Linked DNA regions of Ovis aries. The protein of the gene in region 3 interacts with the protein of the main gene of each other region in a pairwise test. Links are inferred from orthologs where the notes say so. Each region holds a gene or a part of one and is shown on either strand. Other genes may lie near its edges.

The links.
Region 1: the proteins of CCNDBP1 (region 3) and PIMREG interact in binary tests that used the Homo sapiens proteins (3 or more experiments, as listed by UniProt). The two-hybrid records come from large-scale screens. The link is inferred for Ovis aries from reciprocal best matches to the Homo sapiens genes CCNDBP1 and PIMREG.
Region 2: the proteins of CCNDBP1 (region 3) and C3H22orf23 interact in binary tests that used the Homo sapiens proteins (3 or more experiments, as listed by UniProt). The two-hybrid records come from large-scale screens. The link is inferred for Ovis aries from reciprocal best matches to the Homo sapiens genes CCNDBP1 and C22orf23.
Region 4: the proteins of CCNDBP1 (region 3) and STK25 interact in binary tests that used the Homo sapiens proteins (3 or more experiments, as listed by UniProt). The two-hybrid records come from large-scale screens. The link is inferred for Ovis aries from reciprocal best matches to the Homo sapiens genes CCNDBP1 and STK25.
Region 5: the proteins of CCNDBP1 (region 3) and CCDC146 interact in binary tests that used the Homo sapiens proteins (3 or more experiments, as listed by UniProt). The two-hybrid records come from large-scale screens. The link is inferred for Ovis aries from reciprocal best matches to the Homo sapiens genes CCNDBP1 and CCDC146.
Region 6: the proteins of CCNDBP1 (region 3) and MRPL15 interact in binary tests that used the Homo sapiens proteins (3 or more experiments, as listed by UniProt). The two-hybrid records come from large-scale screens. The link is inferred for Ovis aries from reciprocal best matches to the Homo sapiens genes CCNDBP1 and MRPL15.
Region 7: the proteins of CCNDBP1 (region 3) and myelin P2 protein interact in binary tests that used the Homo sapiens proteins (3 or more experiments, as listed by UniProt). The two-hybrid records come from large-scale screens. The link is inferred for Ovis aries from reciprocal best matches to the Homo sapiens genes CCNDBP1 and PMP2.

The regions. Positions count from the first base shown.
Region 1 is NC_056064.1:25,303,630-25,308,185, forward strand, and holds the start of PIMREG (protein PIMREG), read right to left. Parts: upstream 2,814-4,556; 5' UTR 2,779-2,813; intron 2,254-2,778; 5' UTR 2,218-2,253; coding exon 1,924-2,217; intron 829-1,923; coding exon 533-828; intron 41-532; coding exon 1-40. UniProt on the Homo sapiens protein: During mitosis, may play a role in the control of metaphase-to-anaphase transition.
Region 2 is NC_056056.1:215,574,082-215,578,529, reverse strand, and holds the start of C3H22orf23 (UPF0193 protein EVG1), read left to right. Parts: upstream 1-1,470; 5' UTR 1,471-1,673; intron 1,674-1,973; 5' UTR 1,974-1,982; coding exon 1,983-2,085; intron 2,086-3,300; coding exon 3,301-3,363; intron 3,364-4,448. Other genes in the region: POLR2F (DNA-directed RNA polymerases I, II, and III subunit RPABC2), read right to left, coding at 755-824, 1,298-1,317.
Region 3 is NC_056060.1:36,638,960-36,643,369, reverse strand, and holds the start of CCNDBP1 (cyclin-D1-binding protein 1), read right to left. Parts: upstream 2,848-4,410; 5' UTR 2,799-2,847; coding exon 2,690-2,798; intron 2,517-2,689; coding exon 2,457-2,516; intron 2,172-2,456; coding exon 2,092-2,171; intron 334-2,091; coding exon 252-333; intron 1-251. Other genes in the region: TMEM62 (transmembrane protein 62), read right to left, coding at 3,519-3,845. UniProt on the Homo sapiens protein: May negatively regulate cell cycle progression. May act at least in part via inhibition of the cyclin-D1/CDK4 complex, thereby preventing phosphorylation of RB1 and blocking E2F-dependent transcription.
Region 4 is NC_056054.1:373,815-377,598, reverse strand, and holds the end of STK25 (serine/threonine-protein kinase 25), read right to left. Parts: coding exon 3,672-3,784; intron 3,308-3,671; coding exon 3,162-3,307; intron 3,030-3,161; coding exon 2,915-3,029; intron 2,747-2,914; coding exon 2,675-2,746; intron 1,550-2,674; coding exon 1,413-1,549; intron 1,285-1,412; coding exon 1,245-1,284; 3' UTR 753-1,244; downstream 1-752. Other genes in the region: FARP2 (FERM, ARHGEF and pleckstrin domain-containing protein 2), read left to right, coding at 167-236. UniProt on the Homo sapiens protein: Oxidant stress-activated serine/threonine kinase that may play a role in the response to environmental stress.
Region 5 is NC_056057.1:45,402,299-45,405,959, forward strand, and holds the end of CCDC146 (coiled-coil domain-containing protein 146), read right to left. Parts: intron 2,731-3,661; coding exon 2,482-2,730; intron 1,175-2,481; coding exon 971-1,174; 3' UTR 712-970; downstream 1-711. UniProt on the Homo sapiens protein: Essential for sperm flagellum biogenesis and male fertility.
Region 6 is NC_056062.1:35,001,084-35,005,511, reverse strand, and holds the start of MRPL15 (large ribosomal subunit protein uL15m), read right to left. Parts: upstream 3,018-4,428; 5' UTR 2,995-3,017; coding exon 2,884-2,994; intron 2,344-2,883; coding exon 2,189-2,343; intron 1,669-2,188; coding exon 1,503-1,668; intron 1-1,502.
Region 7 is NC_056062.1:57,729,522-57,733,956, forward strand, and holds the start of myelin P2 protein, read right to left. Parts: upstream 2,885-4,435; 5' UTR 2,830-2,884; coding exon 2,757-2,829; intron 558-2,756; coding exon 385-557; intron 175-384; coding exon 73-174; intron 1-72.

The DNA.
Region 1 (4,556 bases), on a different chromosome or scaffold from region 3:
GATTCCTGCCCCCACGGGCTCCAGGTCACTGTCGGACTCACTGGACAGAAGGAAAAGCTGTGCATATCAGTCACTAGCTGGAAACCTGTGGCAGGAGCCTATTCTAACCCAGCACTGGGACCTGGTGTACAGGCCCCAGAGATGACCAGTGTGGGCTGGGAACTGATCACCCCAGACCCCCATTCTAGGAAGTGTCGTCAGAGAGGCTCGGAGCAGATGGCAGAGAACAGCTGAGGCCATTGTCAAGGATAGATGATCCTGCAGACAGGTAAGCCTCCACCCCCCGACCCTGCCAGGTGGCTTCAAAAACTTTTGGTGGAGCTTGGGTGACTGTGATACTCTTAGAGTTAAGCTCGCCTCTTCCTTTGGCAGGTGGGGAAACTCAGGCCCAAAAGGACCTCCCCAGGTCCCCCATAGTGGGGCACAGAGCTGAGCCAGAGCATGGATGTGGCTCAGCTCAGGGTGTCCTGAAGGTGCTCAGTAGCCCCCAGGGCCCAGTTAGCATTTGAGGGGCAGGCACTACCCCACTTACCTAGGGGAGCAGAGGGGCTCTGCCGAGGAGTAGGGGCTCCGGAAGGCAGCCTCCCTTCTGGACCGTTGCCAAGGGTGGGCATGGGGGCCCATCTGGACAGACAGGGGGTGGTACTCTTTCTCCCGGGGGTCCAGGGTTGAGTGGGCAGGGGCAGCCACAGATAGCCGGGTGCTCCTCTGGCTCAGGCTGCGAGCTGGGGGGCTACTGCCCTTCTGGGCCCCTCTCTTCCTCCTCCTGGCTTTCACCTGGGTTTCCACCAGCCACTTGGTGCCACTTTGGCAGGACTCCTGGATCCTCTGTGACCAGTGCATGGAAAAGTCAGAGTGGACAAGCCAGGAGTGAGCTACCCGATTTCTCAGGGCATCCCCCAACCCCTCGGCCCACCAGCTGGTCCTACAGACCCAGGAAGCCTTTAGGCTCAGGGTGAGGGATGCAGATGAGTCCATGAGGCCACAGGTCCATAGCAGGGACCCAGCTCAGGCCCCCAGGGATAAGTGCATGGGCGGCAGCATAACCTCTCTGGCTCATGGAGCCTGCATTGGTCTAAATCCAAACCCTCTTTCTGGACAGATTGACCCAGACTCAAAGGGGAGGCCTGGGGGAGACCACACCTACCCCCAGGAGACAGTGAAATAATTCTAAACATGTTCGGCACGTGCCCTACCTTCTCACGCCCTGTCTTGCTCTCTGTCCTCCAGCCATACCCAGACTAAGTTCCTGCCAGTTCTTTTCAGCGTCTTGCTCTCCTTTAACCCTGGGTCTGGACTAGTTCACCTGTCTTGTACACTCCTCATACCTCCTCATACCTCCCCTTTCCTGGGCGAATTCCATGGAGTCACCTCCTCCAGTCACCTTCACTGACTAAGCTTGTTTTTGGTGTTCCCCCACCATTAGCCCTTTGCTAATTAGCAACTTCCTATCACAGTATAGCTCTTTCATCTTGTCTCATGATGTTCTGTTTCCTCCACAACCCTGTTTTCATTCACTCATTCAGCTATTTGTTGAGCATCTACTGGGTGCCATGGGCTTCCCAGATGGCGCTAGTGGTAAAGAAACCGCCTGCCAATGCAGAAGAGATATGAGACATGGGCTCGATCCCTGGATTGGGAAGGTCCCCTGGAGGAGGGCCTGGCAACCCACTCCAGTATTCTTGCCTAGAGAATCCCATGGTCAGAGGAGCCTGGCTCCTACTGTCCATAGGGTAACAAAGAGTCAGACATGACTGAGGCGACTTAGCGTGCACGCACTACTGTGTACCAGGAATTGTTTGGAGAGCTGGGGACACTAATAAATCAAGGACCTTGTCTTCACAGAGTCTATATTCTTGGGAGATCTTTGGGGGCAGCCATTTTTCAGCATCAAGGAAGCCCTACATCCATACTTGGCATTACCTGGGACATGGCACCCAAGGTGCTCTTAGCTGAGCGAGCTGCAGCCTGGAGGCCCTGCTGCCCTGGCTCTGGGGTTTCCAGGCGTTTCCAGGAGGGGCCCACCCCGAGGTTGAGGCTGACTGCTCTCAGGGGCAGCCGCCTCTGGAACTGTCTGCGCAGGGAGCCCAGGGCCCCGCTGGAGGTGTCCAGGTGGCCGGCTACAGGCTGCAGGGCCTCGCTCTCCTCCAACCGTTCCTGGTTCTGGAGAGACCTCCGACGCAGGGAAGCCCCCACAGCTGGCCACCGAGAAGCCATCTGACTGTTCAAGAGTCTGTTCTGTTCCCACAGACCCTGGGGAGGAGATCAATGGGAGATCAGCAGGGTATCCCCCATCCCACTCCCAGGATCCAGTGAGACACCGGGTACCAGAGAAAGAGATTCCAGTCCTGGGGCCCATGGGGTGGGTCGCTTGTCAACCGTGGGGAGGAATTCTTCCTAGAAGTGAGGTCATAGAGGCCCGGGAGAGGGCAGAGTCTGGACAAGGCCGGCCAGCAAGGCGTCCCTTGCTGTGAGTGTCTGAATTAACTGTCTTTTCATCCCAGGCTACTTTCCGTTATCTGCCTCAGGCTGGGAGGGAGGCAGTCAGGACCCGCCGGCCGTCGCTGAGCCTCAGCACTTGGCCCAGGCTGGGCTAGGGACTCTTTCACGAGCTCGCCTTGACCCAATGCGCGGAGGTGGGCTGACCAGACACCCCGATGTCCATCCGGCTGTACCCAGAAGCCCCACATGCCGTGCCCGTCCTAACTAGGGGTCCCCCACCCCACCTGCTCCCGTCCCTTCTGAACAGAACCCCACCACGCCCCGGCCCGCACTCACCCAACAGCTCCCGAGGCTGACCAGACGACGTGCATAGCTGCTCCTCGCCCATCCAGTCGATTTGAAACACCGCGCGGATCCGCCCCCCTGGTCCTGTCCTCACAGCTGATTGGCTCTGTCCCCGCCTCGCGGCCACGCCAGGGATCCGATTGGCCCCTGCGCCAGCGGCTGTGAATCCTGCTCTCGGATTGGCCTAGCCATCCCCATTCATCCTCTGGAGGCCCGCTGGACAGGGAGCCGGGCGTAGAGGACCCTTTGTATCTATGGGTCCCGCCCGAGTTTCCTGCAGAATCCGTAGCCCGCGCCGGCTCAGCCCCGGCGCCACCTACTGACCCTCGGTCTCGGGCCACTGGACCCCATCCTTAACTTATAAAGGGTTCTGGCTGGCCTGACTGGGCGGGGCGAGGCGGGGTCCCCGGCTCCTAAGGGTCCCTCCCATCCTGCCTGAAGGTCTCAGTGGTTTTGTCAGAAAGAGCCTGGGCTGGGAACTCGGAGCCTTGGGTTGCTGTGGAAACTTTGTTTCAAACTTCCCTCGTGACCCTCTGCCTTCCTGAGACTGCCCTTCAGTTCCCCAAACTTGCCATCCGCACGGATCCCCAGGAAAACCCATCTTGGGAGAGGGGACAGATTGAGTGCATCCCCCAGCCCCCTACCCCCACTCCAAGTACGACCCCCAACCCTGTCCCATTGACCATCCCCTCTATCCAGCTGAGTGCCTCCCCCCTTCCCTTTAGCATCCGAGCTAAAAAATTCACCATTTAGAAAGCCCCCTCTCCTTCCCCCTCAAAGTAGTCCCTACTCCGTTTCCTCACCGCCCTGCTCACCTGGAACCTTTCCTCCCCCCATACACCACCCCCCCCCCCCCCCCCCCCCCCCCCCCCCACCCCCCCACCCCCGGCTCCATTCCCGAGTTTCAACTTATGGGTCTCTTGAAGGTCAGTCATTAACTCTGTTCTTCACCTCCGGGTCATCTCCCCCAAACCCTGGTAAAGGGACTTTTCCCATGGGAGGAGACCGATTCAAACGAGTCACTTACTATGCACCTGGCCGTGGTGCAGTGATTAAAGAATCTGCCTGTCAATGCAGGAGAGGAGGGAGACATGGGTTTGATCTCTGGGTTGGGAAGATCCCCTGGAGAAGGGAATGGCAACGCACTCCAGTGTTCTTGCCTGGAGAATCCCATGGACAGAAGAGCCTCGCAGGCTATAGTCTATGGGGTCGCAAGTCTATGGGACACGACTGAACCGCTAAGCACAGCACAGAGCTGGACACAGCTGAGCACACGCATGCATGCACTATGCACCAGGTACTAATTTCCAAGCACTTTATAGGAGGGACTCAAGAGCCCCTCGCTGCAGCCTAGGACTAGATGAGGAAATGGAGATGGGGAGGGACCTCAATTTTCCGGTTTATATGCAGCAAGGATTCAAACTCTGTCACCCTGGGACCAGGGTCCATGAGCCTCTCCAGCATAGCACATGGCCTCTCCTCAGCCTGCACCTCTCCCCACAGTTGTGCTAAATCAGCACCTGTATCCCCTTCTCCTCCTGGGTGCTGTGGGCACCTTAAACCAACATGCTCCAACAAGGTCACGCTGGTGTCTCTCAACCCCCCTTTTCTCCTTCCTCATTCCCCTCACCTGTCCTTCCAATTATTTACTTGTGTCTGATAGATTAAGCTCTGTGCTGACAATGATCCACAAAGGTGAACCAAACAGGTGAACTAACTTGGTGAACTAGCTCAAACCTGGTGTGTGGGGGAGAGACGGACATGGATGA
Region 2 (4,448 bases), on a different chromosome or scaffold from region 3:
CCAATCTAAAAAAAAATCAAAGGATTCCTCTCTCCAGAAGACATAAAGCACTTCTTCCTCCACCAGTCACACAGCACAGAAGACCCTATTTTATCTATGACGCCAGTAACTCATCCACCAAGCTGCTCAAGCCAGAGACATGGGAGTCATTCCTGCCATCTCCCACTTTCTCAGCCCCACATCCAATCCACCAAAATCTCTCATCTGTTTTCTCATCACAAACACTACCAGCACCCAAGTGCAAGCTACAGATGTCACCTGGATTGCACTCTAATTGGGCTCTCTTTGACTCTTGGTTCACCCAACTCATTCCTCACTGGATCATGCCACTCCCCAGATCCCCAAAACTTATCAGCAGCTTCCCGCTACCCCTAGGCTACAAAATCTTGGCTGATCTTGGCCCTCACCTCTCCAGCCTTATCCCAGGTCACTCTCCCCCTTGCTCTTTATTCAGCCCCACCCTGCTGAGCTCCTGGTACATAATAAACATTCACCACATGTCTGCACAATGAATGAAGGGGCTATTTCAACTGAGTAAACTAACTGCCCCAGAAGTCATGCTCTGTGGTCCAAGAGACAAAAGCCTTTGGGCCAACCCTGTAGGACTCCTCCACTACCCAGGGCTAGATCTCCCCTTTCTAAGTGGCAGTACCCTGACCACAAACGGGAGGCAGAGGCATGCAGTCGGCCATCACTGGCCGGGCTATCTGGCAGCTTGGGCTGCAGAGAGGGGAGCCCAAGGCTCAGTACTGACCTCCTCGGCATTCTCCAAGTCATCGAGCCCTTCATCCTCCTCCACGTCATCAAAGTCGTCTCCATCAAAACTGAACAAGTGTAAGAAGCCCGTTAGTTAGAGCATCACTTATTAGAATCAAAGTGGGCAGAAATCTGAGTCTCATGTGATACGTAGGAGGCTCTCAATAAATATCCACCTAACCAGTGAATCATTCAATAAACCAGTCATCTGACGTCCTCATCTTAACTATGGGCCTCTTCTAGAAAGAGACCCCAGCTGAATCAACATTTGGTACAGACAGACATAGAGCCCGACTCAGTGGAAGTTTGCTGAAAGATACTTTTTCACTGATCCTCTCTGGACCCTCGAGTCGGAGCCTTTTCCGCGCCCAGCCTCTGACCGGGTCTATGCTCCTAGTTCCCAGCCTTTCCCTTCTCCGGCTCTGCGGACGCCCTCACCACCCCCAGTCCTAAACCTCTGGCTCAACTTCCTTCGACCCTGGCTCCTGCTTCATCCGCCCCTTCTGAGTCTTCGGAAAAGTCGTTTCGCTCCCTCACTCACTTGTCCTCGTTGTCTGACATGACGCCCGCGCAGCAGCCACCGGGTTCCGAGACCCAAACCCGCGCGGAGACCGGCGAACAGCGTACCTCCGCCTCGCGCGATGCCAAGAGTACTCGGCGCCTGCGCTGTGACCTAGCGGTAATCACTTCCGGGAGGCAGGCGGGGCGAGAAATAGGCACATGCGCGGAGCAGTTTGTCTGCGTTACCATGGTAGCCGGAGCCGCGCTTGCTGCAAGCTCTAGTGGCTGAGATCTCAAAAGTATTTCTGGGAGGGACCAGGCGCGGCTGCTGCTTCAGAGCCTTGGTTACGATCTCCGGAGCCCAGCCGCCGCTCTCTGTGAGGAGAGAGGCCACCCAGCCGGGGTCTTACTTTAGGGTGAGGTTTCCCGTTTGGGCGTATCACACAACGGGCACGGCTACCCTCACTCCCCTTTCCTCCCGAGGGGGCTTCCCTGCCACAGGCGCCAGGTCAGGATGAGGTCTCTGTTCGCGTGTATATATCTGCCAGTGGATCTGTTCGAGGTGGGAGGATCGGGCACTGTCGCGATGTTGACAGGCGGCATCACGATCTCTTGAGACCCTACACCCGCTCCCAAACTTTGGGTGGTGTTGAGGGTGTGAGAAGAGATTGGATCTGGGAGACCGGGAATGTTTCATTGGGTTTTTCCCTCTTCAGAGCCCTCCCATGGCTTCCCAGGAGAGGGTGGAGACGGTGACCAAAGGAACAGGGTTCTGGCGCTGTCCCAAGCCGACCACTTACACCCCAGGGACCTGCGAGCTGCTCAGAGGTCAGTGCATTAAAGGGCACAAGAAGAGCGGTGGTTACAGTTACCCTCTGTTTCTCAGTTCTCCCCTACATGACTTATGGCTTAGTAATTGTATTTTCAGTTTACAGATAAGAAGCCTGGAGTTCAGAAAGGTTCAGGCGTCCAGCTCCTACAACTTGGAAGTGACCCAAAGTCAAAGAACTAAGAATTTCAGAGTGGTTAACTCCCATGAACCCCTTAGATCACACTTTCAGTTTCCCCAGGGAAGACTTATTTGCTCTCCACCCATCATCACCACAGTGGAACCAACTGTTATGCATCTGCACACTGATGCTACTGCTACCGCTAAGTTGCGTCAGTCGTGTCCAACTCTGTGCAACCCCATAGACAGCAGCCCAACAGGCTCCTCTGTCCCTGGGATTCTCCAGGCAAGAACACTAGAGTGGGTTGCCATTTCCTTCTCCAGTGCATGAAAGTGGAAAGTGAAAGTGAAGTCGCTCAGTCGTGTCCAACTTTTAGGGACCCCATGGGCAGCAGCAGCCCAACAGGCTCCTCTGCCCATGGGATTCTCCAGGCAAGAGTACTGGAGTGGGTTGCCATTGCCTTCTCCTAATAGTCTGCACACTACCAAATACCTTTTCCTTCACTGGGCTTAGTGCAACCTGTACTCAGATACCTAGTGTGTTCCACTGAATTAACATTGAATTAACATTCAGTTCATGAACGCCATCAGGGCATGATGCCTGTTTTGGCTCACATTTGTAGCTCCAGCCCCTGGCACGTGCTCAATGAATACTTGTTCATTCACTGTTTCATTCACTCAACAAAAATAGTTTTAAAGCCCACTGTGTGCTTTAGACATTATCCCGGGTGCTGAAAACACAGCGGTAAAGAAAAGAAATAAGCAAAAATTATTGTTCCCTTGGAGCTAATATTCTAGGAGGAAAGTAACAAATAATAAATAAGGTATATAGAACTTAGATGGTGATGAGTGGTATAGGGGGAAAAATGTAGAAAAGGAAGGGAATTCCCATGTGGTCCAGTGGTTAGGGCTCAGTATTTTCAGTGCTGGGAGGCCCAGGTTCAATCCCTGTTCAAGGAACTCAAATCCCACAAGCCAAGTACGCAGGCACCCAGAATGGGAGCAGGAGGCGATACAGTATTAAGTTTCAGTGGGGTGAGATGAGGCGTCTGCTTGCAGCCCAGGAAGCCTCACCAAGGTGCTTTGTTTTGCAGTGATGATGAAGGAATCCAAACTGACTAACTTCCAACAGCGCCACATCATGGACACCATGAAACGTAAGAGGCTGACCACAGAGGCTTCCCGGGGAGAGGAATTCTGGGTCACATTTTAATGCTCTCTCCATGTTGAGGAGCAGGGGACCTAATTTTAAACACACACACACACACACACACACACACACAAACAAAATTTGAATAGTATTTCTGACCCTTGCTCTTGGGGAATTGACCTTGCAGGGTCTTGGTCTTTGCTTCTTCACAAGACATGGGTCCCAGTCCATGAGCCTCTCCCACAGTCCAGCTCTAGCCGGCCTTCCTAACAGGGCATCAGCCCATTCGGGACTTCCTGCCCAGTCAGACAGTCTGAACGCTGTCAAGTCCGCAATCTCTCCCACCCTCTTACACACATAACATATGAGCTCTCCAGACGAGAGGCCTGTGTGTGTCTTATGCATAGTTTTATTCATTCTAGCTTAGCTGGCAGAAACACGATTACTGGCAGGCTTCCAACTTAGGAAAACTATGCAAAACTTTTCCATCTTTCACCTCTGACCACACACTGTATTATTTATTTTTAAGGAAAAAAAAAAAAAACTGAAGGTAACAAGGTGCCCTCTAAGATCTTGAGAACAACCTTGCTTTCTGAGATTTAACTGAATCAGCTTTTAGGGGATCAGAACAGAGATCTGTAAAGTTACCTTTAAGAGGATACCAGAAGGTTCAAGCCTGCCAGGTTTCACGCAAATCTACCAATAGCTATTGCCTTCTTTCAAGAAAGAAGGTGCCTATCAGGAGACATCTGGTCAACCACAGAAACTGGAATGGGAGAGTCAGAGAGACAAATACTGACTGCCCAGTGCTGGCTGGGGGAGGGAGGCTCCATCAGGTCAGTTCAGAAGTCAGATCTCCTTCCTTTTTGTGGACAAGGACAACTCAGGCTGCCAGAGCCTAACACCACAACACAGCTGAGTCACATAACTCAATTTCCAAACTCAAGTCATCTACTAATCATCTGATGTCCCTTACAGATCCCCTGGAGAAGGGAATGGCAACCCACTCCAGTATTCTTGCCTGGAGAATCCCATGGACAGAGGAGCTTGGCAGACTATAGTCCATGGGTCGCATAGAGTCAGACATGACTG
Region 3 (4,410 bases):
GAGAAGCCAGTGAGAATTAAAAATATTAAGAGTCAAGTAAGGCAGGGGACATGAGAACACAGTATCTGAACTTTAGCACAAAGGCTTACTTATGGAGGTCACTTATATAACTACCTTTGACTGCACTTAATGGGAGAAAGTTACATTACATGATCAAATTGAGGAAAAGGTAAAATTCTCAGGACATAAGCTGTCACAATAGCAAAGATCTACCCCATAAACTGAACACTTATGTGTATGGAGTGGCTTACCCTGATCCTTGGGAAACAAATAGTACACTGCAATAATTGCCTTGATGGCAGCACGCACTTGTTCACAGAACCTCTGCGTTTCCTAGGAGATGATAAGCCAATTTCAGAAAGAAAAAAAGAAATGGATTAGATTGATGTGGTCAAGCCATCTACAGGGGAAAAGAGCAGACATCTGTACAGCATCATCAAACATTTTCTGAAGTCCTATTATGCATCAGGCTGTGCTGTTCTCATCACATACCAGGGAGGAGTTAGCTGGATACCAAGTACTGAGCAGAAACTCAGTAAGACAAGAAGAAACTGTAGGAAAAACATCCCTGATACTCTATATCCCAAGATATCTGTGATCAGCTTTGAGGTATTCACCATATCTTAGACCAGGAGTTGGCAAACTAGAGCCCAAGGGCCCAATCAGGCTCACTGCCCGTTTTTGCAAATAAAATGTTTCTAGGACACAGCCACACTCATGCGTTTACAAATTGTCTATAATAGTATTCACACTACAGAGGCAGAGTGGAGTAGCTGGACTGCAAAGCCTAAAATGTTTACTATTTGGCCTTTGACAGAAAAGTTGTCAGCTCTATCTTAGACCATTAACCAGTTGTCTATCTCTCTGCCTCTGTCTCTAACAGAATTTCAGTATACCTAAAGGAAATTAGCATGGACTCTACAATGCTCAATGCTGACTATTTTCCTTCTAGGCAGTCACTGGCTTTCCCTTATCTTCCTTGTCCTCACTGCTCTGCTAAATTCCAAGCCAGTGCTATGCAAAATGTGGTCTACAGATGGTGCCAGTCCATAAATGATCTGTCACCAGTCTGAGATGGATAGGTACAAAGATTGAGAGTACTCAGAAACTTTTACACCAATGTGACATTGTTTCAACATCCAAACATATAATTTTGTAAAAATACCACGTTGTAAGGACTGGAATCAAAAAAAAAAAAAAAATTCTTTGGCAGAATTAATGTGCTGAGATCCTAAGAAAGCAACTGTGATTCAAATATATATAATTCATATAAAGCCATATTTTAATTTTTCATCTACGAATGAAAAAACCACTGTCCTGAGCATGTACAGGGTAATCAAATTGACAAAAATTAAAGACAAAGATAAAATATTAAAAGCAACAAGGGAAAAGTGACAAATAACATACAAGAGAACTCCCATAAGGTTACCAGCTGATTTCTCAACAGAAACTATTATCACTTGTGTAAAAAGCAGCAGCCATATGCACTTAAGTGTGAATATGCATAGCATATATATGGAATGATACAAAAGGAACCAAAGACAGGAGATATAAGCTTTTTAGCACATTTAACTTTGATATCTTTTGAACCTTATACTGTCTACATTATTATATATAAATATAATAATATATAATATATATAATAGCATAAAAATAATTCAGTACAAAAGAGTATTATGTAGTATAATAGAAAAGGTGGAGCTCAAACATCAGATAGAACCTAATTTAAGTCCTAGCTCCACTACTTATCTACCTTAAACTGAGCCTCTGAGCCTGCCTGTTCATCTGTCAGAAAAGGATCATGTATGTGAAAACACTTAGCAAATAGAAAGTATATTTTAAAATGCCAGAAAGGAAATAACCAGGATGGACCTCAGAATGAACCAATATTTAGAAGAGCCATCTACCCCATGACAACTACTGCATTTGACAATTTGATCTTCAGAACAATCCTGTGGAGTGAGAACCTTCACCTTACTCGACAGATGAGGAAATTAAATCCCCAGATTTGAGTGTAAAAGGTGGAAAGAAAATGAGAGGCTTCTTAAGGAATACTGAGCAGCACAAGAATCCTAGAAAAGTGAAGCCCACCTGTGGAGACGGCAGCGGAAGTCGAGAGAAGGCTACGGTCAGAGTCGTGGCTTCCCTTGACACTGTCACAGCTGCCTCATCTGGGGGAGTGACAGAGCAGGCGGCAAGAGCCAATATGTTAGTGCCAAAAGGAAAAGGCTGCAACGGCTGCACGGACCTTGAAGATAATGCGTTCCCTCTCCACCCATGCCCGCTGAGACGTCTCAAAAACACCTCCAAAAATCAGTGTTTTATATTTCAACCTCGGAGATACCAAGGATAGGTAAGGAGTATCCCCGCAGAGAGGCTGGGGCGGGGGGGAAGCAGGAAGGAAAGGAGTAGGGAAGAGATGAGAGACAGCAGTCTCCAATAGGAGAGGCACTCACTGAGTCTTCTCCAAAAGGCCTCCCGATCAAACTCCTTGGTGGTTTCCTGGGCTTCGCCGACTAGTGGGTGCGGGGTGTGCGCCGGACGGCGACAAACGAAAGAGCACAGGTAAGCGGAACGACCTCCCGGACCCACCTCCTCTGCCCGGACCCGGCGCCGCGGCCGCCAAGGCCTGGCTCCTTCCCACCCAAGCCCGCCCCTGCGGTCACCCGGCCTCACTAAGTCAGCTCACCCCGCACTCCAGGAAGCAACTGCCGCAGCTCCCCGGCTAGGTGCCGAAGCTGTTCCAGAGGCGGATCCAGGGTGGGGTCTGGGGCTGCAGATACAGCTGCGCTCTCCATCCCAGTACCGCGTTTGGAGCCAGCGGACCAAGCCCCCACAACAGCTTCCGGAGCCGCACCGCTGTCGCAGCTCCTCTTCCAGGCCACGGTTTCGCTTCCGGCAACAACCTGCCCCGCCTCGGAAGCCCAGCCACACCCCTTCCGCTCTCAAAAGCCCCGCCTCGCTCCCGCTCCTAGCGACACAGGCAAGACCCAGACCGAGTTGTTTCTTATTCATTTATTGGTATTTGATTAGTTGAAAACACCCCCGACTGAGGAAGCAGAGAGCCCATAATCCTGTCGAAAAAAGGACTAGGAACTAAACAAGGGTAGTCAGGGTCAGGTCCAAGTTTGCACGTTCCCTGTCCCTAAAGTGGCCTCCTTACAGGCTGCCAAGTTCCAGACACTGTGCTAGGTACTTTACATGAGGTATCTAAAAAACACACTGAGTGGGCCTCAGATACTCCCTTATCCACCAGCCCCTGCCCTGTGGATCTCCTAGATAAAAGCTTTCTCTTCACAAAAGTAAATCAACCCTTTACCTTCTTGAGGAAGGGAGGAATCACGGCATTATATAGTTTTCTGCAGTCCATTCTGCAAGAATCAGTAGTAGGTAATTCCCCCCAACTCCCAGGTGTCCAAGGAACAGCAGCTCCCTGATGTTTGCCCATCAATACTGGCCTTTTACCTGCTGCTGAGGCAGAGGCCTGGGCTACAGAGGTGGATGAGGAGATACAGACTTCAGGAGCTCAAATGGCTTTTTAACTGCACTATGAAGGTTCCAAGCTTAGCAGAGTTCACTGTCCAAACACAACGAATGAGAACAGGTGTCGCCAGTGTCAACCAGGTCCGTAAAGGGGAGAATAAAAAAGCTAGAGTGCCATATGTCACGTGAAGAAAGTAGCAGGAATAAATATGCCAGATGTACAGCAGTAACATAAGTAGGTGAACAGGTATAATTTTCAAGTATTTTCCTTGATGGAGATGAGACCTGAAGCTGTGACCAAAGCACCGCTGCAGCAAAATCCAACACAGGTAACCCATCAAGGGGATGTTAAAAAACACCAGCTGGAAAGAACAGAACAGAACCATTAGCTTATTAAGCCCTGGTGGGGTCAGGTCTCACTAACATATTATTGGTGGCTCCTAAAAATATGTTGCTTGCTCTCTTGGGGGTTAACTGATACTTTATACTTTAATCACACTTGTGTCCTTAGTTGTTTATTTGCCTGCATCCTTTTGTTCATCTTAAAGGCAAGTGTCATTTCATTTCTGTTGAAGCTCTCAAATGTTTAAGGTAGAAATGAATACATATGTCTATGTACAAACACACACACACATACATATATATACAGTACTTTTTTTGGGGGGGTAGCGTGAGGGGGGAACTTGGATATCAATATTTCTTCTTTACTTTGCATTTGTAATTGAAGTAACATAATGAATACTAGAATACAAACTAGAAGATTTAAGATTTATAATTCAACCATAACTACAATATGGATTTTCATTCACCAAATAATTACTGAGCACTCATTATGTGACAGGCACTGTGCAAGGCTGTAGGCAAGGGACACACTGATGAACAAGTCAGAAAAGATGCTTCAGACAGCTTACATTCTAGTACAGAAAA
Region 4 (3,784 bases), on a different chromosome or scaffold from region 3:
GCTGCCGAGCGCTGCTGCTGGGGTTTAAGGGGCCCTTCCCTCTTGACTTGGGATCGTTCTTGGGAAGGTGTTGGGGCACAAGCCCGCCGATCTGAGGACCAGAGCACGCCCCGCCTCCCAGGCGAGCAGTTGGTGGGGCGGTTCTGACCTCTACGCCTCCTCTCAGGTGGATGGAGGTGATAGAGAGAGCCAGCGCCTCAGCTGGGAGGGCCGGGACCCCTGAGGAGGAGGCCTGAGGCCCACCCTGCCCCAGACGCAGACAGCCGAGCAAGCAAGGCCAGCACGCACCCCACGACTGCTTGTTCCCCCAGGAGACTGGTGGCAGGCGAGCCTCCGGCGCCACCTGGCAGGGAGGGCTGCCCTGGGCCCCGCGAGGCGCCAGGAGGGCAGCAGGGGGAGCAGGCGCGCTCTGTGCAGGCAAGGCTGGCGCTGCCCCGCCCTCAACCACCTGCCCTCCTCTTCCTCCTCCTGGGCCGGGCCTCCCGTCAGGCTGGGTGATGTGAGGGGTCTAGGCACAGAAGCCTCTCTGGTGCCCCCGGGCCCACACTTCTGAAAAGTGGACAGCAAGCCCCTCTAATTTATCCCAAGAAGTGTACGGTGCTCATGCGCCGAGTGGCTGAGAATAAAAGGCTTCTTCATGCTTGGTCCCACGTGCTGCCTTGCCCCGCCAGCTCTCCGGCCAGCGGCCGCTCGTGCCCACCTTGGGTGAGGAGGCCTTGGAGCCTGAGCACCCCGCCCGCCACCAGCACATCTCAGTTCAGGTCTTTATTGAAAGTGGCAGGAGCCTCTCAAGATGCTGTGAAAACTAACACCTTAATCTCAGAACACCTAGGGAAGCAAGGAGGTTTGATTTTCTTAAAAAAACAACAATCTGGCCAACACGAGTCCTTATGAGAAGACACAGTGCCTGCTCCAGCAGCAGAGGCGAACCTACGGCCGCCAAGGGTGGGCGGGCCAGGTGGGAGGTGGCAGGTCTGCCCCGCGCGAGTCCCTGCCCCTCCGCCTGGCAGCGAGCGGAGCCCCAGGGGCCAGCCCGGCCTCGGGGCCTCAAGGAGACCAAGCCCGCCGCCTCCGCCGCCTCCGCCGCCTTGGCCTAGCCGGGAGGGGGCGTGGGAGGGCACGGCCCTCTGCGGGGCGGGGGCACGGCCCATGGGGTGAGGCTAGGATGGCACAGGGCCCTGGTCAGCACAGCCCCGACCACACGGCTCCAGGTGGAGACTCTCCTCCCGGGTGCAGACAGGGCTTCAGCGGGTTGAGGTCAGGTGGTTTCTGCTGTGGGAAAACCTGCAGACCAGAGGCCAGGTCACTGCTCCGCCCTGGGCGCGGTCCAGGCCGGGGGACACAGGACCCGCAGAGCCAAGCCCCGCCCGGTGAGGAGGACCCACAGCAGCCCGCCGCCCCCAGGCCCTCACCTCTGCACCCGCTCCACCAGGTGGGCCATCAGCTTGTCCGAGATGCCTGGGCAGGACTCCTCGGCCAGGCTGAAGGCGTTCTCCAGCTCCTCCAGCGCCCCCACGCCCCCGCCGCTGCGCTTGTGCTTCTCCTTAAGCTGCACGGACACCCCCAGGCACCTGACTGGGGGCCAAGGGGGCGCCTCCCCGCCCCACCCGACCTGTGACGCGCAGCAGGAGGCAGCGCTGCCCCACTGTCCCCCCGAGCGCCGAGGAGGGGCTCCCAGGACGGGCGGGGCCTCCCAGCCTGCCCTGGCCCCCCCTCCTCCAACCACGAGCCTTCTCCCAACCCCAGTCGCAGAAGCCCGCAGCCTAGATGTGCGTGAGTGGCCCGGCCAGCCCCGCCAACCTGGCCACTGGGACTAGGGGCCCACTCACACCCCGTGGCTGTGGAGGCCCCACGAGGAAGCAGCCTGGCCGGGGGGCTGGAGACGGGTCAGCCTGCTCGCCCAGCACACAGAACAAAGGGGCAAAGGGCACACACCTCTCTGGACACCCACCCGGCAGCCTGACCTCAGGCCAGCCCACAGAACAGGAACCCGAAGGGGGCCCAGCCAGCCCGGCTGTGGCCACGCCTCCCACCCACCTCACACCCCAAAGGTGCCAGCCCCAGAGCGCTGCTGCATGGCCCCAGGAGCCCCCGTGCCCATGGACAGCCCGCCTCCACCCGCTCCCCTCCCCACCTGCCCTCTTCCCCTCCCGGGCACCGCGGGCCCAGGGTGGGAGCCTGCCCACCCCCACCTCCCTTGGCGCGGCTCCGCTGCCTCCTCTCAACATGCACCCCTGCTCCCGGGCTCCAGGGCCAGCGTCACCCTGGGTGTGAACCTGGCCACAGCCCACTGCTGGTGACTCACCCCTGGGGATGCTGCTGACTGCCCTTGAGCAAGTGACACAGACGCTGGGCCACGTGGCCAATGGGCAGCGGCCCTTAAGGGCTCCCTGTCCAGGGCCTGACACCCAAGACAGAAATCTCCCAGGCTCTCCCTAGACGAAGGATCACCCCGTGTCTGTGGTTCTAGGTGACAGGTCCCAGGATAGCAGCTCATGTTCAAAGCCCCCGGGGCCCCAGAAGACCCCGGCAGGCTCGGGATCTTGAGGGTCACCTGAGGCCGGCTTATCCCGGCCATCTCTGGTCCTTCCACTCAAAACGCCGGGTCCAAGGGGCCAACCTCACGAGCCCCGAGGGACCCAGACACCCTGTGCCGCACCAGCTTGGCCCTCACCTCTCCAAAGACGGGCCGGACCAGCGTGGACAGGCACTGTGACCTCGGCTGCCTCTTGACGGGCTCTGCCGACTACAAACGCAGAGCATGCGGAGGTGAGCAGGGCAGAGATGGCGGGGCGTGGGCAACTGCAAGCCACCCCCCAAGTCTGGTCTCCTAAGAGCCACCCTGGGGGAGCGGGCGTGCCCAGCAGGTGCCCCCACAGCCCGCTCCCTACGGCGCGCCCGGGGCCAGGCCGACCTTCTGGGGGCCATGCAGGGCCGTCCCCTTGTGCAGCTTGCCGTGCGGGCTCGGCCGGATGGTAGGGGGGAACGTCCAGATGGGCCCCTGCTCTCCATCCTCGGGGTCTCCGTCTCTGAAGGGGACAGTGGGAGGTCACACGGGGCTGGGGGTCAGGAAGGCCCTGAGGTGCACTGGTTCACAGCCCCAAAGGCCGACCCCTGCCCTGGAGAGCCCGCCTCAGCCCCACGGGAAGAGCAGGCCCTACATGTCGGAGTCCTCGGAGCTGGACTCCTCGCCATGGCCCTCCGACCTCCAGCGCTTGTAGCGGTCGATGAGCTCCGTGAGGAAAGAGGTCTTCTTAGTATAGCGCGTGATGAACTTGTGCTTCAGGAGCTCCTTGGCGGTGGGCCGCTGCCGGGGACGCACAGGGGTCACCAGGCGCCGGGCAGCTGAGCCTAGGTGACCCCAGGTGGCAGGGGCGCCTAGGGGGGCTGGGTGGCTCCACACTGTCTTCCCCAGGGGAAGGGCCTCCCTCCAGACCCTCCTGGCCTGGGCTGGGGGCACAGAGGAGCCCGCCCTGGCACAGCGGAGGGGCCTCTGGCCCTGTCACCTCTGAGCTCCCACTACAGACAGCCAGCACGCCACTCCATACACGCACATGCGCGTGCACACACCCCCCTCAACTGTCCTCTGGAGCCCAGTGCCAGGGGCCCCAACTACACTCAGCCATGCAGGCCCCCTCACCACTCACGAGCTGGGGGCAGGAGGCGCTTACAAATCGGGGGTCCTTGTTGAGGCAGGCCTCCACAAACTCCTTGAAGGGCTTGCTGTGGTGGCCCTCGAGCGTGGGCGGGCTGTTCTTGGGGATCAGGAACAGGACGCGCATGG
Region 5 (3,661 bases), on a different chromosome or scaffold from region 3:
CAGGACTCCTAGACTGAGGAGGAGATTCAGTCTGTCTGTAAATCCAGTTTATCAGGTGGGGGCTTGGCACAGATTTTGTTTGGTTTAGAAAAACAAACAAATGTGATATTTTCACTCTCAGAGTAGAGAAATTAAATTTCTAACTGATATCAATATGAAATGACAGTAGTTTGAGCATATTAATGAGTGGAAGAACCACAGGCTTCAAATCTACTTGTGTATTTTTATATGAGAAAGTAAACAGAATCATGAAAGTATATTTGGGTGCAATACAATATAGAGTAATGAAATAAGTGAAACTGGCCTCATTTTCAACTCTTTCACATGCAGAGTTATAAATATTTTCATTGAAATTTTGAAAGATGTGGCATCAAAAGAAAGTAATCACTAGCATATTTGCCTGTAATATTGTGGAAAATCTAGTTTTAAGAAAGGAAAAATAGGGCATGAATGTTTTGCACAAAAGGATTCTTTATTTGTAAACAGAATCATTTATAATGTCACTTTAAAAAAGTCAAGGTCCCTTACTGCTTTTCAGTTTAGATTTACCAACATCAACTTCCAATATAGCTATTTACTTACCAAAATGAGTCATGCCCCTGTGATACTTGGGATATTTTTCTTTTAAACCATTTTTTCTTTCTCTTTAAAGTGAGTATATTGAGCAGGATCTCCTTTTCTTTCTGTAATAAAGACCACTGCCAATTTCTGTACTTTGTTGAAAAGGTGTTTATTTTTATCGCATTTGTATAGCACTCAGACTACTATATATTTCTGAAATGTAATCAAGAGATGGAGTGAAAAAGAAAAATCGATGGGTGTGAAAGGAAGTATATGTCGTTGTCTGTTGGGTAATTGTGGATACTGTGTTTGTTTGTAATTTAGGGCTGTTTGCTGACATTTTTCAGCTGTGGATGTGAAAAAGCCTGGTTGAAGTATCTCCTTCAGAAGCCTGGGTTGGTTCACATGCTCAGATTTCAATTGGCTTTATAACAGGTTTCCTTATGTGTCTTATGTTGGCCCCAGGTTCACTGGGTTTGAAAGGAGCCAGAGCGCCATACGGTTTTGGCAGAGGGAGAGTGGCCTCTGCCTCTGGGATGTAGGCATTTGGACGCTGCTCTGCAGTCGTGTAAACACCATTGGGCAGCTGGCGAGTTTCAGCTTCCAAGAACTCCTGCAAAGAATGATTTATCCTTTTCAGTTTTTGAAAACAGTGGTTAAATCACTTTATCCCCAGGGCCCATCAGACACAGCTGGGTCTGAGCACCCGTTGGCTATGCTGGCCAACATTCTAAGGGACAAAAGGGTGTGAGGGTAGAGTCACCAAACACACCCACCCCCACACACATTTCCTCTCACTAGAATGAACCATGTTGCTCAAGCATCACTCTGTTCCTGGGGTTTAGGGTTTACCATAAACTGGTTGGTAGGGCCTAAAGTCACCACATTTCAAACTCAGTATCTTACATTAAGCACTAGTTATTTATTTCCATGTCTGTGACAAAGGCAGGATAATCTTTTTCCTTTGGTAGGTCACTGGTGAGCAAATGGTACCAAGAAAGAGATAAGGAGTAAAAGAGAATTAGAGGAAAGTAGTCAGCAGCTTGCTTTGAGCCTCAAGATTCTGCCTGTGTTTCTGGAAAATAGGAATCTCTTATAGCATTAAAAAGAACTTGGGGGGGAAAATGGAGACAGGTAAATGACAGCTGGGACACCACAGGTAAAAATCTGAATGCCTTCAAAAATACAATCCTAGGCAGTGAGTGTGAGAATGATAAGTCAGACCCTATTTTCAGGAATTCTTAGTATGTGTTTGGAGTACAGTTTTTTCTTGGCTTAGAGAGTGAATAGTGATCTTCTGGGGATGTCTGCCCCGTAGTCAAGAGTAAGTTGTAGGTCTCTTTTGAAAGAGATGCCTAATTCCACTCTAAGATTATTGAAAAATCATGGGAGTAGGAAAAGAACTGGACACAAAGCCCCTAGGTGGGGCCAGTGATAGAGTTAGGTCCTTGGTGGGAGAAGGGTGGCACTGGAGTCATCGCTTCTGCACCAAATGCAGAGTCTTCAGAAGCCTGTGATGAGCATATGCTTGAGGCCTTACAATATGCTGTGGTGGCCACAGCAGATGGACATCGAAGAGCAAGGTATGGTCCGAGCAGGGCTGCAAAGACAGAGACTGGAGACCTAAGACAGAACCAGTGCCAGCCTGGTCATTGCCGTGCTAGCAGGAGGCCCTGGCGTGGGACTTGGTGCTTGCCAAATGCTCTCCAGGGAACATTCTGACCCTTCGCACTGTTGTACTTTGACTACGTACATAATAGCTTAAAAAAGGCAAAACTTCTCTCTAATCAGTTGTTAGGACTCTGTGTGCTGCGGAGTAGAAAAATTTCATGTATTTCAGGAGGATTGACAACCCCTGAAACAGCCCTTCCTGGCACACTTTATAAATGCAATGTAGAAAATAAAGAAGCCACAGCTTACCCGAGACTTTTCAGCGATGGCCAAGGCGTACATTTCTTCATCTCGAAGTACTTTCAGCCATTCTCTCTCAATCTCTTTATTGAGGGGAAGACCCTTTTCCATCCTGGAATTGCAAGTGAAGATGAACTCTTCCTTCTCCTTGACTTCCTTTTGGAGTTCAATGGCCATAGCTTGTTTCATGGACAGCTCAGCAACAAGAGCCATCATTTTTTCAGTAGCATCTTTGATCTTTTTCTGGTAGCCATTCATCTAGGATTGAAAAGCCCAAGGCTTAGCCTGTGTATACACTCCATGCAGACAGGCTACTGGCTGGCTGTGATAGTGGGTGGCATTCTTGCCTGAAGATGGGAGAGGTTAAGTGGGAATTCACAGAGACTAAGGACTGGAGGAGACCTCAGATTCAGCGCAACACTCTGGCTGTGAAATAAGGACAGCAGGAAGGAAAAGAAAGAGATCTGTTCATCTAGGCAACGGATTTCCAGGTGGGTAGAATTGAGGGGAATCGTTTAGTGTCTCCATATTTAAGAGGTGGTAAGAACAAGGGAAAGGATATTCTTGATGTCTTTAAGTTTTGACCTGATTTTGCCTTCTTGCTAGTTTGCTACTTATCCAGGGGGGAGAATCTGATAGAATGGAACTGTATTAGTTACAGTGTATTAACACTGGCTTAAATAAGATAATCAGCATCTGTGATGATTTTTAATAGAAGCTATTAAACATGTGTGTTTTATTGATCATAATTCCAAGGATGCACCATTATGAGGTCATAAGCAAGCATGAGCTGAACTGGACCATCTGGACAGTAATTTGATGAAATGTAATATTCCTAGTTGTGTGTGTTTACATGCATGTACTTACCTTTTCATATAAGCTATTTATCATTGAATTAAAGAATCAAAGAATTAAAAGATAAGACTAAGTGGAAATTTTGATTTTAAAGGACAGAAAAGAAGTAAAAGTTGGAATTAGTTCCTATAAGCTTTCTGGCCCACTGCATGGCCTTTCAATGTGGCCTTAGCCCTGGTGGGGCAGTAAGAGATGACTCCTCCCACCCGCCAACACTCACTGTTGTATTACTTTGCCTTAGTATTTCTTCATATCCTTTCACTACTGACATCATAGTATAAATGTATTTGGGTATAGCCTGTCATCCCACAGGAACGTATTCTTCATGGGGACA
Region 6 (4,428 bases), on a different chromosome or scaffold from region 3:
AAACAGATTCTGACAAAAATAAAAAGATGGTGGCACTACCATTCTTTTTGCAGTGGTAAAAAGTTTTCTGCTATTTTCGTGTGGTTGAAACAAGGTGGTTCCCAGTTTCAAAATATTTCATTAATTATAAGACACATTTCTCCCTTCTCTGATACTGGTAGGGATTTTTACAATCAATGGGGCCTTTGACTCAATAAAACAAGGTCTTGCCATGTTACGTGACATTTCTCATTACTATCCATAGACTGCTTAACCATTTCCCTGTCTCTGGGCACTAGTGTTAGTTCCAGCATTTTCAGTGCTGTAAGAAGCCTATTTAGTATTTCTTTATATCAATTAAGTTTCTTTTATCTTGTTTTACCTTAGGACACATGTTCCTAAATTGGTGATTTTATGCTGAAAAGATCAAAACCATCTTATTTACCCAATATTGACTGCAAATCTGAAATCCAGAAAAGGGCAACTGGTTTACAAAGCTGTAAATGATGAATAACTGTACATACTCAACCAATAGATTTCAGAATGATTTTTGCTAGTTTAATAGACATATGTCCAAAGCTGTTGGGATGTGCAGTTTAAGGTCTCATGAGGTCATGGGTTTTTCTGTTACTTTATAACCATGTTCCTTGATATGCCTAAAGTAGAATAAAGTAGAATACTGAGGCTTAATCCTGTATTTGGTATTCTCTCTTCAAATCATTAATTTGGAAAACTTTTATCGACAAGTTTACTTTTTCAAAGATCTGAAAGGTTCTCCCATAAACTATGCTTCCCTCTAGTGGACGCTAAGTCACTTACACAGCAATCAACTGTGTTATTGACACAGAAGAAAAAGGGGGTGGGGGGGGGCATTAGTTGATTAACAACGTACAGGTTCATCTGCCTATAAAACTCCTGGCCAACTTCTCTAAATAGAAAACCTCTTCCCTACAATCATAACTGGATTTCATTCATCCCTTTCTTCCATAAATACTGAGTGACTATCACAAGCCAGTATTTCCAATGTTAAAAATACAGCAATGAGTCAAAGCACCTGCACTCAAAAGAACTGACATTACAGTGAGGAAGACAATGAAAAATGCCTGCACTGCCTGGTAATAAATATCAGGTGTTCATATATTCAAAGAAAAACCCTTTTGGGCACAATAAGGCAGACCGTCAGATACGAGTGTTCCTTTATAAAGAACATCTCCATAATAAAAATAATTTAAGCCTCAAATAATTTGGAAGGAAAAAAAAAGTTAAAAAGATCCTCCTACTAGGATGACATCTGAACAGAGAACCAAAGAGAGTGAGGGAGCAAGCTGAATGGATACACAGGAAGAACACCCAGGACAAGGAACAGTGGCTTTCTAAAACCACAACTGAATATAACACAATCAACCACTACATAATGGTTACAACTCAAAAGAGATAAAAATGAAGGAGGCACAGTGTTGATTATACGGAAATCAGAAACAGTCATCCATGAAACTTACCAAGAAAATTTAATTCAGACTTACCTCCTCTACCAGCTGGACTCCATAGTCCCTTTTAGATGGCTGGATGGTAACACCTCGCCCGTTGACCAGCTGGGTTAAGTCAATAGGTTGTGTGGGATCGACGCGGCCCAGGTCAATCAGGTACTGCAGCCTATTGAGACTCAAAGGCTGATACTGGCGTCTGAAGCTACGAAAAAAAGCAGCAACAGATGGAAAACTCAGCCAGACTTATCTTCCTGTAAGACCTCCAGATAAACGCAGAGTTCTGTCCCATGCTTTCCTGCATCAATTTAGTTGGTTTAAAATAAAACTCCTACATTTACTTCACTCATTTATACAAATAAATATGTGAAAAATTTAACATACTATATGAATTATGCATTAATGGATCTCAAAGTAAGAGCAGTTACCATTTACTGGGTGACGATAGTGGGCCAGAGTTTTAAACATAAAATCATTCTAAACCTCCGGAGCATGCACCATTACCTCCATTCTGCAAGTCTGGGTGTAACCTCTGGCTTTTTTCCTCTACTAAGTCAGGCTAAACTTCATTACCAAAAATGGTTCAAAGGAAGGGTAGCAGAAGTTTGCTTTAAAGAAGTGGATTTAAATTTCTACCAAGCTATCATTCGGTGATTCTCAGAATCACAAATTTTTACACTAAGAAGCAAAGCAAAAAAATTAAACCACAAACAAAGCAAACTTACCTGTGTCCTTCATTAAACCCGTATTTGGGGATTCGAAGGTAAAATGGAGTCTGGCCTCCTTCAAAGCCCAGCCGGGGCCGGGTTCCTCTCTGCCGTTCTCCTTTGTGGCCCCTGCCACACTTCCTACCTCTTCTCTGACCTCTTCGTCGTCTTTCCTGGAAGGAGAGAAGAATGTTTTATGAGCTGCAGATGCACTTTTTAAAGTATATTTCACCTCTGCGCTGTCAGGTTGGTAAGGCCCTCATTCATCCTTCCAGCCAGCAACGAGCCAAACCCACTACGTGCCAGGCACTATTCGAACTGCTCTGAGGTCAAGACACCAAATTATAAAGAAAACTTTTTTCTTACTTGGCAAAAGCAACGAGTTGATTTTTAAGGTGACAGTATGCCCATAACAGCTTTTCTAGCTGTGTTCAGTGACTTGCAGAACGTAAAATATCTTTCCCCTTAAGATAAAGGTATAATGGAAAAGCACTTCATGCTAACCTAACACTGAATGAGACAACCATCTGCACTTCCTGCGACCTCGCTCCCAGCCCAGGTTAACGCAATTACTCCTCTAAACCCGACCTGAGAGCTGGGACTACCGGGGCAGGCTTCTCGCATCACTCAAGAGCAGGGGCTCACAGGCCCCTCGTTCCCGTAGCGTCTCTAGACCCGCGACCGCAGGACTCCCGCGCCATCCCCCGCCTTACCGGTTTCCTGGAGCCCGGGTTCGGCCTCAGGTTAGCCAGGCTCACACGAGGCAGGGCCCGAAGCAGGTCCAGGGCCCAGGGCCCTGCGGCGCCCCGCACCGGGCCGGCCATGACCCGCTTGCACGAGACGCCGCAAGGGCGCCTGGCACCCAAACCCACGTGACCTCGGGCGCTGCTTTACGGCCGCGGCCCCGCCCTCGTCGTGCAGCAGGAGCGCAGCGCCGCCGGCCTCGGGGCACGCCGGGAGCCGGCCGGGAGCCGGTCTCCATCCAGGCGGCGGCGGGTACGCTAGGCTATCTCCTCCGAGCTGAGCTGGCTTTGTGTTTAGTTCACTGGGGATGAGACCGTATTTTGAGAGATCGTGCCTTGTTCTTGGCTTGGAATGTGCTGCGTTTTCTTTCGCCGCACAAACACCTGTTGAAACCCTGCGCGTTGTAGGACTTGGTGTCACTGCTGAGCTGTCTCACAGTCTGGTGCTTAGAGAGGCAAGGTCTCCGAGCTCCACGTGGAGCCCAGAATAATATACTCGGAGCTGAAGTTCCGGTTTGGAGCTGGGAGCTGGGCTGATTATACGCCCTGTCAACTGAAAAATTGTACAACACAGAGCTGTGAGTTATTTGGGGCAAAACGAGAGCTATAGCCTAGAAGACAACCACTCAGCTCTGAGAAACAGTTCCGAAGTGGGGGAGGGGGGAGGTCGGCTTATGTGTTATTTTAGTGGAGTCAGGAGTCATTGGAAAAGACCCTGATGCTGAGAAAGGTTGAAGGCAGGAGAAGGGGACGACAGAGATGAGATGGTTGGATGGCATCACCGACTGGATGGACATGAGTTTGAGCAAGCTCCAGGAGTTGGTGATGGACAGGGAAGCCTGGCGTGCAGTTGGACACGTCTGAGCAATTGAAATGAATGGAGTCAAGCACATTTTGCAGAGGCTCCTGCTAGTAAGGAGGAGCAGGTGTCCCCATTAATGATTTCACTGCTTTTCTAGACACAAGGAAAGTCAAGAATTTGGGCTTGTAAAATCTGAAAATGTCTGAATATATGAAGGCCTGTTCTGTCAGTTTTTCCCAGAACACAGATGCCTCACTCCTGATCTCAGACCTGAATTCTGAGCTGAGGGGTTTGTTGAAAGACAGGGGCTGCAGTGGCTCCTGACTTCATCCCTGTAGAGGCAGAAAGTGAGTGCCTTTCAGTTGGCAACCCTGAGATATAATAGTACCCAGAGTTGAGCTATTACCACAGGCTGGCTGGTACCAACCTGTGCTTAAGACTCAAACTCTGCACCCCACCCAGGTGCACTTGTGGTGCTCTGACCAAGTCAGAGATGCTGACTTCACTTGCTGTTAATGAAGGAGCCACCCTGGCTTGATTCATTAACTAAACAACCCCTTGTTGGGTAGATGTTATGACCTTTGACAGACTTGGCAAGGCTGGTTCAGTTCAGTTCAGTTGCTCAGTCGTGTCTGACTCTTTGTGACCCCATGAATCGCAGCATGCCAGCCCTCCCTGTCCATCACCATCTCCCAGAGTTCACTCACACTCAT
Region 7 (4,435 bases), on a different chromosome or scaffold from region 3:
TGTTTTGAAAATAACATAACCATTTTCTCTATTTAAATGCATTATTTCCATAGTTAGAGTGAAATTACTCACCACCACCATTTTTCCATCCACCAACTTTCTCTTTATTGTTGTCTCTTTGCCATCCCATTTCTGTACTTGATTCAGTGAGCCTCTTGCCAAGGTTACAGTGCTCTGCAGAGACACATTCATATAATTGAATTTCTAAGACTTTGATTAAAGAAGCAGTTCATTCAGTACTGAATCATTTTCATAACAGATGTTTCATGAGGCACATTCATTTTTCAACAGAATGAAGTGGGCTACCCTTTTGAACACTAGTGGGAATAATCTGTCTCAAAGCAGTTGATGGAACTAACTTTGAAGAGAAACAATAAAGTTTACCTTTGTTTTTCTATTGTCAGCTGTGGTTTCTTCAAATTCCTGGCCTAGCTTGAAGGAGATCTCTGTGTTTTTAAAGGGACTTTCAGTTCTTATGGTTATAATATCCCCTTTCTTGCTGATGATCACTCTGGGTTTGGCCAAGTTTCCCAGTTTTCTGGTGGCTAATCCCACACCTGAAAATCAAGATAGTGTTAGAATTTTGTTGACTCAGAGAGCATCTACCTAAAGGGATTATATGGGTGGTTACATTTTATGCTCAGCTGTGCTTCGTGTGTGTAGGTGGCAGATAATATCACTTACTACTAAGGATCTCCTCCCATGTTTCATCACCTGATGGAAACACATGCCCACCAACATGGATATTTAAAATTTTGTTATTACAATAGTAATGTCTGAAGATTTTAAACACAGAAGTATTTAGCCTAAATAGTGCAAGTCATCTACTTTTACCTTATCCAATCCCATGCTCCATTGAGAAGCACTAATTAGAGTTTTGTATGGATCATTCCAGGCATTTTAGTTTGTACAAATAAATATTGTAGATATATTTTTAAAATGAGACTATGACTTATATATGCTCTTCTATGGTTTTTTCCCTCTGTAATATATTACAGATATAGATAAGAATTCTTCCCACATCCTTGATGGAAACTCATTTCTGAAAGTTTGTTGTAGTCCCTAAATTATTTGTACCACTGCAAATGATAGAGATAAATAAAATAATTAAAAAATATTTTTCCATTTGATAGCAAAACAAAATTAGACTCAAGTATCATTACTGTATTACTCGATTATAGAAATACATAGAAAAATAGAAATGTAAAATGAGAGAGACACAAAAAGAAAAAACCTAGTTATATATAAATATACATGTATTTATGGCTATATATACATAAAGTCAGAGAAGGCGATGGCACCCCACTCCAGTACTCTTGCCTGAAAAATCCCATGGACGGAGGAGCCTGGTAGGCTGCAGTCCATGGGGTCGCTAAGAGTCGGACACGACTGAGCGATTTCACTTTCACTTTTCACTTTTCTGCATTGGAGAAGGAAATGGCAACCCACTCCAGTGTTCTTGCCTGGAGAATCCCAGGGACGGGGGAGCCTGATGGGCTGCCATCTATGGGGTTGCACAGAGTCGGATACGACTGAAGCGACTTAGCAGCAGCAGCATACATAAAGAAGTGTGAAGAATTAGAGCCAATAAAGGATTATGAGCTGTATTCTTTTTTTCTGATTCTGATTAATTGTTTCTTATTTGATGTGATTTTGGACTATGTTTTTCAAACTAAACTTCTGCAATAGAGCCTAAGAATCTACATTTCACCAAGCCTCAAGGTGTCCTTTTGCACTTTAAAATTTGACAATGATTCAGTTAGGGAGTCTTTTATTGAGATGTTCTTATATTTTGCTTCTGTCTCAGCTGTACAGTGAAATCCATAGATCTAACCAAACTTAGAGTATGAATCTATTCCCATAAGCTCCCATAGTTTTCCAGGCAATGCAACATGATTTTGCTTATTTTATCTAAAAATAGAAGCCTTCTTAAAAGCTTTCTGAATAGGTAAAATTACTGGTACTTTGATGACCATAGATACCTGAGGTCATTGGCTTCTTTCTCTCCTTATTTATACAGCTCTGGAAATTTCCAAAGACTGTTCACACCACTTGTGCTCATATCTATGGAACATTTCCTAGAAATAGCTGCAAATAAAGCTGATGGTGGTCATGACTAGACTTTCTGTCTCTATCCACTGCTCCAACTGAAGGAAAGCATGATATTAGTGTAATCGAACTGGAATTCATTGTCACAACAAACTTCCTTTTTCCTCAATAACTTTCCTAGACTGAATATCCTGCTTTATGAAGCATTCACTTTTCACAAACATTTATCCACATACTTATGTAATATCAGACAATCTAGAGGTAGAGAAAGAAAATTCTGGCTTAGCTAAATAGCACTTTTAAATGGAGGTTTTCCATTAACTTTAGTATATTTAACTCTTTACTTCATGAACACTTTAGTTGTTATAAAACTAACTTTCAGAAGAGCTGAAGAATGGGTTGACTAAGTTTCTAAGATTTCTTTCCTCTGGGTTTGAACCAAAATCCTATTGATATGAAACTGCCTTTGAAATCGGTAGGCATTCTAATGCATTTAAGCAGCTCTTATTTGAGTTAAAGTCTATTAAAATTGCCACAAACATAGTGAAAATTATCTGATTGACACCATGGAAGATTAATCCCAGAAGAGGGTTGTACTTCAACCTGTGAAGCTCCCAGACTCCTGGGAAAGGAGTTAGAAGGAAATAGTCAATGCATTTTTCTCAAAAAGGATCTTCTTAATTAGAACAACAAAGAACATTTCTTACCCAGAGCTTTCATGTACTCATCAAAGTTCTCACTGGAGACAAGTTTCCAGGTGCCTAGGAATTTGTTGCTCATTGTGATGGATGAGAATTCAACCCAGTGGTAGGTGAGATTCAGGAGACTCAAATAAGATGCTGAAGCCTCAGAAGATTCTTTTCAAAGATGTCTGAAGCATGTGACTCTTACAGAGACCCAATGGGGAAAAGCAGTGTCAGGACTGGGCAATGAATGGCTCTTCAATTATCCACTGGGACAAAAGGAAACCTCACATAATGTCTCCTTCAGTCTCCAAAAATGTTTATAAAAGTCAATGAGAGTACTATTTGAATCTTTAAAAATTTTGGTTGATCTTACATTTTTAAGAAGTGCTTCGGTCCTTAACACTTTGAAAAAGAGTCCATAAATTGAGCCCTATACTGTATTAAATTATATGGGCATGAATGAATGAATACGTGTGTGTGCGTGTGTGTGTGTGCTTAGGCATCTTGCTCACTCTCAATCCTGAGTCTGCACAATTAAGAATTCTTATTGAAAGAGAAGAAAGAGAGGAAAAATGTCCATGAGTATTGTGATAACTGCCTCAAATATGTTGTGGGAGAGAAATGCAGGAGAACAGTGTGAGGACGTATTCATAGGTAAGGAAGGCTTGGAATAGTTGGCATATCCAAGGCAGGCAGAGTAGGCAGACAATACGGTCAGTTTATTGCAGCAGAGCACAGAAATTGCTTTCATGGGTGAATAAAAAGAGTAGCACTAAAACATGCTCTTTGACCATAGCAAAGATTTTAATCTTAAAAAAACATTTCAGGTCCAAATTAAGCAGGTTCTTGGTTAATAAAACAAGTTTGAGTCCTTTAAAATAAGTCTATAGTTTTAGAAAGGATATTTTATAAAAATAATATATATTGAGAGCTCAATAGTCACCATGATAAGTGCTTCTTATGGATTATTATATATGATCCTTTCAACAACTCCAAGAGTAAGGCATTATTATTGCATCCATCTTATCAATGAGAAAACTGGAACTTGGGGAGGTTAGGTAGCTTGTGTCCAAACTTGAATAAGGAGAGGTATGATTTGAACCTGGTATCGTTTCTCAGTGCATAGATGTTAGACCAATATTTTACACTGCTTCTGCTATAATATGGGCTTCCCTGGTGGCTCAGAGGTTAAAGCGTCTGCCTCCAATGCGGGAGACCCGGGTTCGATCCCTGGGTTGGGAAGATCCCTTGGAGAAGGAAATGGCGATCCAGTCCAGTATTCTTGCCTGGAGAATCCCATGGACGGAGAAGCCTAGTAGGTTATAGTCCATGGGGTCGCAGAGTCGGACACAACTGAGCGACTTCACCTTCACCTTCACCTTCTGCTATAATATATATGCTGGAGGTCCTGGCCAAAGATCAGGCAACACGCTGATATCACCATGACTGGATAGAGACATTCACTCTCTGCTCGAAAAGCAAGAGAAGTGTGACTTCTCGGGTGGTCCAGTGGTTGGGAATCCACTTGCCAAAGCAGGGGACATGGGTTCAATCCTGGGGTGGGAAGATCCTAAGTGCCACACAGCAACTGAACCCAGGAGCCACAACTACTGACCCCATGTGCTGCAACTAGTGAAACCCGCATGCCTAGAGACTGTGCTCTAAAACAAGAAAAGCCACCCATGAGACGGCCGTGCACC